3 linked regions of the Cricetulus griseus genome follow. The protein of the gene in region 3 interacts with the protein of the main gene of each other region in a biochemical or structural test. Links are inferred from orthologs where the notes say so. Each region holds a gene or a part of one and is shown on either strand. Other genes may lie near its edges.

Evidence for each region.
Region 1: of the proteins of Trim25 (region 3) and Ddx58, one has a biochemical effect on the other in vitro, tested with the Homo sapiens proteins (5 studies listed by BioGRID, with this or other methods). The link is inferred for Cricetulus griseus from reciprocal best matches to the Homo sapiens genes TRIM25 and RIGI.
Region 2: of the proteins of Trim25 (region 3) and Zc3hav1, one has a biochemical effect on the other in vitro, tested with the Homo sapiens proteins (2 studies listed by BioGRID). The link is inferred for Cricetulus griseus from reciprocal best matches to the Homo sapiens genes TRIM25 and ZC3HAV1.

Annotation. Positions count from the first base shown.
Region 1 is NC_048595.1:102,341,236-102,344,888, forward strand, and holds part of Ddx58 (antiviral innate immune response receptor RIG-I), read left to right. Parts: intron 1-2,765; coding exon 2,766-2,923; intron 2,924-3,653.
Region 2 is NW_023276806.1:189,850,542-189,854,194, forward strand, and holds part of Zc3hav1 (zinc finger CCCH-type antiviral protein 1), read left to right. Parts: intron 1-134; coding exon 135-265; intron 266-506; coding exon 507-640; intron 641-1,668; coding exon 1,669-1,937; 3' UTR 1,938-3,653.
Region 3 is NC_048600.1:102,145,916-102,149,568, reverse strand, and holds part of Trim25 (E3 ubiquitin/ISG15 ligase TRIM25), read right to left. Parts: intron 775-3,653; coding exon 541-774; intron 1-540.

The sequences.
Region 1 (3,653 bases), on a different chromosome or scaffold from region 3:
TCCCTTTTAAAAAGATTTATTTTTATTTTTCTGTGTTTTTGTCTGCATGTATGTAAGTGCACCACATATGTAAGTTACATTGGAACTAGAGTTACAGACAGTTGTGGGCTGCACATCTGCAGGGAACTGAACCCATATTCTCTGGAAGAATAGCTGGTGCTCTTAACCACTGAGCTGTCTCTCTAGCTCCCGTTTCTGAGACAAGGTCTCTTTTTGTATCCCTGGTTGGCCTGAAACTTGCTATGTGAGTAGGCTGGCTTTGAACTTGCGGAGTCCTCTTTCTTCAGCCTCCTGAGTCCTGGGATTGCTAGCATGAACCACCATATCTGGCTCATATATACACTTCCTTAATTCCTGGTTATTTAGGTACCTTATAAGAATTCTTTCATTCTCTTTTGCTTTATTTTCTTTCTAAACCCAAAGTTGATCCATCTGGAAATACATATCTGAAAAATAGTCTTTTTAAATCATCTTCTAAATTTACTTTCTTCCTTCCCTCCTTCTTTCTTTCTTTCTTTCTTTCTTTCTTTCTTTCTTTCTTTCTTTCTTTCTTTCTTTCTTTTATTTTTGAGACAAGGTTTCTCTGTGGCTTTGGAACCTGTCCTGGAACCAGCTCTTATAGACCAGGCTGGTCTCGAACTCACAGAGATCCACCTGCCCCTGCCTCCAAAGTGCTGGGGCTAAAGGCGCGTGCCACCACCGCCCGGCTCTTTTCTTCTTTTGAGACAGAATCTCTGCATACAGTGCAGGCTAACCTTGAGCTGGGAACTTCCTGCCTCCTCCTCCCAAGGTGTATATCACCACTGGGACTCCATTAGATCTGCATTGATCCCGTCCAAGAGCAATGTCCCCAATTACCTAACATCCTCTCACTGAACTCAGCTCTTGAGAGTGTCACCATCTCCTAACCTCACCACACTGGGGACTAGCCTTTTGCCACATGAGCATCCTGAAGACACTTAAACAGTATGGAAGGACAGCGCTGGGAGAGGAGTTCAGGCAGTGAATCTATTAAAGGCCCTGAAGTAGTGGGGTAGCATGCTCTCTCCTCACAGTTTTCGGAACTTCTCTGTAGCTACTTGGTAGGGAATGGACTGAGAAAACAGGCAGGTGGTAAAAACACCAGTTAGGAGGGACATGGGTCACCCAGGAGCAGGATGACATGGTCTGACTAAAGTGATGAATGGACCGACGGGGATAGAATTGTGTCACGTTCTCTTTATCATTCCTCTCACTGTAGCTAACATCCACACTTCCGACTGCCCAAGTCCTGCTGATAACTCATTTCCTAGTAGCATAGAACACTTTCCCACCTCCTCACATCGAGTAACTGTTGGTAGCCACCTCATTTGTTCAGGAACTGGGAAAGCATCTCATTGTGAACTGGGTGTGATGGCACCATCTGTAAGGTTCTGAGTCTGAGGCCAGCCTGGGCTACATACTGAGACCCTGTCTGTGGGGTGGAGGCAGGGAAAAGCTCGACACTACCACCTGTTGGGTACCAGCCCTTTGTTCTACATTATGAAAATGAATGGGTGAGGGGAAACGTTTAACGCATAAGTGCAATTCTGGTCTTTGGATTTTGCTGTACTGTGATTGTCTCAAGAAGTCCAGGAGACTAAACTAGTAGACCAGACTGCTGTGGCCGTTCCCACTTCACCTTCTCCCTGTGCTGGCATCTCCTCAGAGTCTGAATCACTGTGGGCCCTGCATGTTTGAATCAAGCAGCTAGAGTTAGCTCCAGCTGTGCACACAGATGATCCAGGACAAACATCTCTGTGCTCTGCTGAGTGGTTGGTGCTGAGTGCTTCTCTGAGGTGAGGTCTCTGACCTCATAGGAAAGCAGAAAGGCTTTGTTGGGTACGGTGCTCCCATTTTTATATACCTGTCTCCGATGAAGCTCTTGAGGCCTACTATTCTAATGGTGTCTTTGGTTTTAAAGGCAAAGTTGTGTTTTTTTATTTTATTTTTTTAAGATTTACTTACAGTGTTTTGCCTGCACACCAGAAAAGGGCACCAGATCTCATTATAGATGGTTGTGAGCCACCATGTGGTTGCTGGGAATTGAACTCAGGACCTCTGGAAGAGCAGACAGTGCTCTTAACCTCTGAGCCATCTCTCCAGCCCGGGTTCTTTTTTTTTTTTTTTTAATTTCTGAATTACTTTGACTGTCAGTCCCTTAAGCTTGTAGAGCTCAGACACTACATAGCTGAGTTTGAATTCTTGCCATACCCACATTGTGTGACTTTGGGTAAATTACCTAGTTTTCCATTTGTAAAAGATTTATTTAAAAATTATGTGTATGTGCATATGACTGTGTGGGACGAGTGCTGTTGCTCCCAGGGGCCAGAAGAGAGCATTGAATCCCCTGGAACTGGATATACAGGTGGTTGGAAGCCACCCTACCTGAGTGCTGGGAACTGAACTGGGGTCCTCTGCAATAACCTAACTGCTGAGCCATCTCTCCATCCCCTTACTCGGTCCTTCTGAACCTGTTTCCTCTTTTTAAAATGAAATATTGACCTCATGAAATTAGAAAAAATTAAATGCAATTATGAATGTAAAAAACTTTGACTTTGGGTCATTTAGTAAATAATCATCTTACTTACACAATACAGCTGAAAACGCAGTCTACTTCAGGATAAATATCCTATTTATAATGAATAAGAAAGAAAATTAGAGGATGAGGCATGCCAGGACCAATCTTATTTATTTATTTATTTATTTATTTATTTATTTATTTATTTATTTATCTATCCCTCTAGGAAAGTTATTTCAAATTCAAAATAGAGAGTTCGGCACTCAGAAATACGAACAGTGGATTGTCGATGTTCACAAAGCATGCATGGTGTTTCAGATGGCGGACAAGGAGGAGGAAAGCAGGATTTGCAGAGTGCTTTTTCTGTACACGTCACACTTGAGGGTACATTGGCATTCTTTGGTCACTGCATCTCCTGGGATCTGCACTGTGGCAGCTGAGAGAACATTAGCTTCTCATCCTAGCCAAGAGCTTAATTAGGAACTTTCCATAAAGTCATCACCAACCTTGTTTTCTGAAACTTAACAGCATGTCTACAAAACTGGAACAGAGGCCCAGAGGCCTATGTCAAGCCTCCAGCCTTGCTTTATTAATGTGGTCGGGGAAAATTGGGTGATGATGAAACACATGATTGGAAACCACCATCTCTGACTTCAAGAAGTGGTTCCTGTTACCACATCCTGAAGCCTGTGTGGTCTTTACTTTGTTAAAGCCACATACTTAGATCCCTGGGGGCTCTGGTTAACACAGAAGAACGGAATAGCAGTAACAACTGTCACTCTGTTGTTAGGCTATGGGAAATATTTAAAGGCTTGTTCCATAGCATGCGTTTGCAGAATTTTAATGCTTAATGGACTTTTGCCATAGGTGGTAAGGGCCATCGTTCTGAAAGGTCCATGTACGATTTAGTTATGATGTCGGAATTTAAGGGGAATGTCAGCACCACAATGCGGCGTAATGTCAAAGCTGACTTGCTTTTACTATTGTTTCTTATGATACACTGTTTTTCCTTCTCTACCAAGGTGGAATTTTACAATACAAAGTGAATATACCTAACTAATATTTCTAGCTAACTGAAACAAACAAACAAACAAACAAAAAAAAAAAACAAACA
Region 2 (3,653 bases), on a different chromosome or scaffold from region 3:
AAGCCAGCCTGTCTCACTGGAGAACAGCAATGGTGTTCATGGCATGGGGGGGGAGGGTGGTGGCCACATGTGTGAACATAGCATGTTTTTAGTATTTCCTAGTTTACATTTAAGCATCTAATTTTTTTTTTCAGTTGGTAGAGCTTGATAGCCAGGATGTGGAATATGCCACGATAAGTGAACTTTTTAAAGCATCCATGAAATATTTCAAGATTGTATCGATAAAGAGGATATGGAATCAAGACCTCTGGGAAACTTTTGAAAGGTGACATAATCAGACCTTGTTTGGGACTGTGTAGTTAAAGTATACTAAGAGGGCTCATTTTATTTTCACATTTATTTGGTACTAGGGTGCGGGGCATGCATGCATGTCATAAGGCAACTTGCTGGAGTCATTGGGTCTGCCCACGTGGGTCCAGACGATTGAACCCAGGCTCTCATGCTCAGCGGCAGCCATCTTGCTGGCCCAGTTTCTTGGTACTGAATCTCACATTTCTGTATATTAGGAAGAAGCTGATGATGAAGAATGACAATGAGATGCTGCTGTTTCATGCAACATGCCGTGTTCATGTGGATTATATCTGTAGAAATAATTTCGACTGGATCATAAATGATAGTCGGGAGACCAAATATGGAAAAGGTTTGTGCTGGGCTAGAGACAGCCATGATTCCAGCTCCGCACATGCTTTTGTTGAGATGTTCTTGGCATTAGTTTGTAAACTTGCATGTCTGGGCTCTGGTGGCCCTGGAAGAAAAGAAGCTAAGTTACCTTCAGCCTGTGTTAGGACAGGTCTCTTGACTTGGGGGTGTGGGTGTTAGGCCTTGGCTCTAGGTCTTCGGTCTTGTTTCTCTCTGGGGACAACTGAAGGTCTTCATTCTTGTAAACTGCTCCATCTACTGGCTGTATTGTCTGCCGTTAGCACTTACTGGAGATGGCTCTTCCTGTCCTATGTCTGTGACTGCAGAGCTTTTCAAACTATCTTTCTGTTGTCACCAATGGATTCCAGTTAAGAATGGGAAGAGGGGCCGGGAGTTGGTGGGGCACGCCTTTAATCTCAGCACTGGGGAGACAGAGGCAGGCAGATCTCTGTGAATTTGAGGCCAGCCTGTTCTACAGAGCAAGGCCCCTTCTCATGTCAGCCACATTTTTATTTTTAAAGAGGTTTGCCCTCCTTTTTTTTTGTTGAGGAATCATTCACTCTTTGTGGGTGTTTGAGGAATGTGACGTAGTCAGACCCGGCAGCATAGTACAGTGTAGAATTCTGTGGCGGGGACCAGACCTGTCTCAGGGAAAAATAATACAAACTACCTGGGAATGGTGGCGCATGTTTTTAATCTCCGTACTTGGGAAGCAGAAGCAGGAAGATCGCTTGAGTTTGAGTTTAGCCTGGTTCACATAGAGAGTTCCAGGACAGCTAGCACTACCTAGCGAGACCTTGTCCTAGATAAAATAAAACAATGACAAACTGAGGTGCTGGGGACAACTAGGAAGGAGGGGGGTAGGTAGCAATGACAGCTGGAGCTATTGGTCACAGACAGGTGGTGGGATAGTAGTAAGTGTTATTGGCAGATGTTTTTCACCCATACCAATGTCTGCTTCTCTGTATCCCGTTATAACCTATACTCATTGATAAATAACAATTTACCACTTTTTCTGGTTATTTCTAGGAAATTACTTTGCAAAAGAAGCCATGTATTCCCACAAGAATTGTTCATATGAGGCCAAAAACATTGTTATGCTTGTCGCCCGAGTCTTGGCTGGAAATTCCATTGAAGGAAATATGAGATACAGTAGCGCTCCCGCCCTCTATGACAGCTGTGTGGATAGCAGGTTGAATCCCTCGGTCTTTGTCATCTTCCAGAAAGAGCAGATTTACCCAGCGTATGTGATTGAGTACACGGAGCTAGAGAAAGAGAAAGCCTGCATAATTAGTTAGAAAACGATGTATACTGCCGCGTCGAAGCCTTTATGTTGACTTCTAGGACCAAACCATCCCCAGACAGTAGTTAGACTTTTGCATTTCCTTGCTACATTACCTAACGTCTTAAATCAGCCATTCTCAAACTTCTCTCCAGATTCACAGTCCCTGGCCAGGCAGTTTTTTTGTAAAAATTGCCCCCATGACTCCAGCATTTTGAAAAGATTTCGTTGTCTTACATTCCTAGTGAGGCTGGTTTCTAAATTGTCTGTAATCTTATCTTTCCCATCTACTCTTTGTTTTTATTGTGTATGTAGGTAGCATTGTTTCGGTTTCGCTTAATTTGAACTGGATATTAGTTTGAGAAATTTGAGAGACATGTAATAATGTTTATGGAAATAGGGACATATAAGAAGACATTGCAGCTTTGAGTAGAAAACTTGCTGAGGAAAAAAGTTTAAAGGTTAAATTTAAACGATATTGAGACACAAAAGCAGTACGCAATACTATATATTACCATGCGATGAAACTGACCTGAGGAACACATTTCTGTCTCTCTGCATTTACTTAGAAGACAGACTCCATGGAGTTGACTCTGAAATACAGTGATAAGCACCCCTAAGTATAGTTCAGAAGCAACTAACTGGAGTTAATTGTCCATTGAGGCTCTTGGTATCCGAGTTCTAATTCATGTGATTACAGAGGATGCTTCTTGCAGGCTTTTGTGTAATCATCCGGATTTTTTTAGTAAGATTAAGTTGCAGTACTGATAAAACCTAGTGTTATTGGGATTTGTGTACAGTGACAGAAGGGTTGTCAGAAGCCAGGAAAGGCCTTCCCTGTTGGAAGGGCCTTGTAAGGAGGCAAGACTGGTTTGTTGGTGAGCGCAAAGCAGTGCAGAGAAAGCAGTGTCCCACATAGACCTTTACTGTTAGCCACATCTTTTTGAAAGCATAGTGGGTGTGGGTTTTTTAGAGCATTTAGGACGCCCGGACCAATTTTTTTTCCTTGCTTACTGTGTACAGATCAGGTCCTTCCTTCCAACCTCCCTTTCTCAACGTTCTGTCCCAGTTGCCAGAGTTTCCTGGCATATTTTTTCCTTTCCTGTTACATTTTCTTCCAGCAGACATGTTCATCGTTAATGGGCATTTGATCAGATTTTTCATCAGTTGCTTTACTTTGAAAGTCTCCAATAATGATATATTGAGAATTTTTTAGAGTGGGATTCTTGTCATTCATTGCCACAATTTTTCTTTTTTAATTCACTGATTTTTCTTTTCTTTTTCTCACGTGGTATCTTCTATTTTGGAATACTCATTCTCTGACATAGACTTCATACTGTAGACACGTAGTGCATCTAACTACTTGGCAAGCTAACTTCTAGTTGGATATTTACCTGCCATCTCCAGTTCAACAGGCTCAAAATGGAACACTCTATTTGCCTGCTTCAAAGTGATTCACCCCCAAAGATTCACCTGCCCCAACCCCATAAACAGTATCACTTGCTCCCTGATACACAAGCAGAAAGCTAGAATTCCTCCCAGGCTCCTAGCTTCCCCCAGTCTGAGTCGTTCCTAAGCCCATTCTGAAGCACCTAGTTCAATTCTGTGGGTCTCAGTGAACTGTTCTGTCGGGGTTCCCACCCCTCCCCGCACAAGCAATATCTGTTTTAATCTCTAAAGTGCAATTCAGACATATATTCTCCATATAACTCCATTAATTAAAAAAAGTTAA
Region 3 (3,653 bases):
ACAGAGGAGGTACACCGCAGGAGTAAGGAAGACATCAAACCAGATAAAAGAATTAATCAAGAGGGCGATTATCCTGCCGGGGGAGGGGCAGACAGGATACTTAACTGGGTAAAAGACCTCAATAGAGGAAAGCGGGCCTTCCTAGATAGAGGGAGAAATGTTCCTGCTGGCTTGAGGAAGCATATGATGCCAAGTTGAAAGAAGGCCTCATCAGCCAGCCAGTAAGAAAGTGTACACTTGATCTATAGCCCCAAGGAACTTAAACTCTGCCTGTAGTCAGGTATGCTTGGAAAACAGCCCAGCCTGAAGCTAGACCATTGATGCCTTGTCAACAACAGGGAGCCACACCCAGATACTGAGCTAAGGGAACTGTGGGACAATAATCAGATGTTCTCCAAAGCCCCAAATTTAGGTAAGCTATCGCAGAGCATAGAAATACAGCGTGTCTCCGGGACACTTCCAGCCCCAACTCTGTGAGGTCCAAACTACTATCAACGCTGAGATATTCACACACACAGCAGCACCCTCGTCACGACTCACCTCCAGAAACTCAAACTCGTCCCCTTTGGACAGGGTGAGCTCAACCTCCGCCTTCAGGTTCTGCATCTCACTCTTCTTCTTGGCAAGAACCTGGTAGATGCTGTCCAGCTTTCCGTGGATCCGCTTCTCCTCCTCCTTCAGCTTACGCATCAAGTTGGTCTCCGCTGAATCAAGGATAGCCTTCATTTCCATATATTCTTGCCTCAGTTGTTCCTTTTTCCTGTTCATAGAGTCCTACAAGGCAAAAATGAAGGGGCTCCTGTCAGATGGGTGAAAATGCTAAGGCCGCATTCCTGTGTGTCGGAGAGAGGGGAGCACCAGGAACTGTATGACACTTCATGGCACCATTCTAGGCAGCCATGCCTCTGGAGGCAGAGGCAGGCAGATCTCTGAGTTCAAGGCCAGCCTGGTCTACAGAGTGAGTTCCAGGACAGCCAGGGCTACAAAGAGAAACCCACTCTCAACAAACAAACAAAACAACAAAAAGAATGTTAACAAGCACAGCCAGGTATGGTGACTCACAACTGTAATCCCAACACTTGGGAGGCTGAGATAGGAGGACCAAGAGTTCAAGGTCATCCTTGGCTTCATAGCATACTTGAGGCCAGCTTGGGTTATGTGTGACCCTTGTCTCCAAACTGGGGTGGGAGATGAGGGGGAGACAACTGTTCACAAGCATCATTGTTTGAAACAGCAAAAAGTGAGCTGGTCACAGTGGCACAGATTTATTATTCCAGTTCCTCTGGAGACTGAGGCAGGAGGGACACTTGAGCTATCTGGGGGTGGGGAAGCTAAGTACAGGAGAGACTTGATGCAAAGACTGAGAACCATCCTAGGATGAGACATTAAACGATAAACTGGAGGTACATGTGGATCCAGCTCACAAGGGAAAACACATAAGCTATGTGATTCTTTTCACACAAAGCTTAGACACTGAGGGAATGGCGGTGTTTGCTACCAAGGAATGCATGCACAAACAAAAAGGCATAAATATGTAAACACACGGGAATGAATGAGCTTGTGTTTAGGGTATAAATGATTAGGGAATAAATATGATAAATTAGGAACGGGGAGGGATACACTGCAGACGTTAACATAACATTTTATTTTTCAAGACAGGCTTTCTCTGGGTAGCCCTGGCTGGCCTGTAACTCACAGACAGCCACCTGCCTCTGCCTCCTGAGTGCTGGAATTAAAGGCATGCACCACCACTGCCTGGCCCCTAGTAAATTTTTAAAAGAAGGCATGAAACAATTTCAAAAACTTCCGGAAGAGGATTATTCCCTAGAACTCTCTTTTTGAGTGTTCCACGTGGCTGCTGCGCATTTGAAATGTGCCAAATTCAAGAAAAGATCTATCATGACTCTTAGTAGACACTGGATGTCAAAGACTTGATACCAGACAGCAGTGGTATCCCCTTTAATCCCAGCACTTGGGAGGCAGAGGCAGGTGGATCTCTGTGAGTTTGAGGCCAACCTGGTCTATAGAGCTAGTTCCAGGACAGCCTCCAAAGCCACAGAGAAATCCTGTCACAGAAAAAATAAATAAATAAAAACAAAACAAGAAAATCAGAGATGTCTGGAATGTTTCTGGTAGACAGTGTTGCTTCAAAGGTTGTAGTTTTGAACAAACTTCTTGGTTAACCTCAATAGTTTAGAATCAAACATGACAAACACAAATACTGTACACCAAAAGAGTGGAATTCAACTTTTAAAAAACTGTTACATTTATTATTAATCACTATTATTTTGTTGTTGTGTGCACACTCCCCCCAGGAGGTCAGAGGGCAACTTTCAGGAGTTGGTTCTCCTCTTCCTCTGGTCTTGGGGATCAAACTCAGGTTGTCAGGCTTGTGCAGCAAGCCCCTTTACCCACTGAGCCATTTCACTGAGCCTCTCATCCAGCCCTTCCCACTACCTCCTCTGTGAACACCAGTGTCCTTCAGTGTTCATTTCCTCTTTTGCTCTTTAGTAAGAGAACACCCCAGGAGTGTCAAGTGGGTATACAGCTTCTCAGACTACATTTCCCAGACTACCCTGCAAATGGGCTTAGCCAGGGTGGCTAAGTGGCTAAATTGCCTCCCGTGAGGCAAGGCTAGAAGTAGTATGTGCAACACCACATTGATTGCTTAAGAGGAAGTTGCTTGTTGTTGGTATCTTCCATCTTGCTTCCCTTTTCCCAGGCTAGAGCAAACAGGTAAAGGTGACCCAGAGTAAGGACCCAGTTTGGGCTGAATTCTGCCATCTTGGTGGTAACTGCTATATGACCCTAACACAAATCCCAAACCCTACATGACATGTTAATAGTTGTTATTATTATTATTTTAGAAAATCTAGGTACATTCCAGTTGGCCATGGGCCACCTTTGCCTATCTTAGCACAAAAAAAAAACCCCTTCCCTCCTGCCTTGTGACACAGGGATCGGGGGGATCCTCTTGTTTTGCTACTACTTAACATATCCTTCTGCCAATAAATCCTTAATATATTACAGCCTGTGCAATCCTGGATCTGCCAGCATCTTTGTTCTTCAGTACCTTCTGCCTTGACAGCCAGTTTCTATAATAGCCTTTGGCTTAAAAAAAAAAATCCAGCTTCAATCAAAGGCATGAGAGCATCAAACTGTGGAGTAGTGGGACAGTAGGAATGTTCATTTGGAGCAAAGCCATGCTAAGGGTCAAGAGTTGCTCTTGTGTGGACTTAGGTTGTTAAACTGAACAAAATGAACCACCTTATTGATTTGCATTTAAATGGATCCTAATCCTAGGAGGTTAGCCTGCCCTCCAACCAACCAATATTCATAATTCTACCTTCACCCTGTAGGTCTCACTATCTTCTCAGAGGAGTTGTGGTTGCTTTGCGTGTGTTTCGGGGCGGGCGGGGGGGGGGGGAGTAGGGGGGGTTGAAACTTGCATCTCCACCAACACAACTGAAGCCATCAATGAAGGCACAGTTGCTGCATCTCAGCAATGGTATTCTTAAAATTCCAGCTCCTTTCTTTCAATATAAAGGTAATATGGTACCATAGAGAAGGCTCAGTGGTTAAGAACACTGCCTGCTCTTCCAGAGGACAGTTTGATTCTAAGCACTCATATGGAGGTTCATGACCATCTGTAA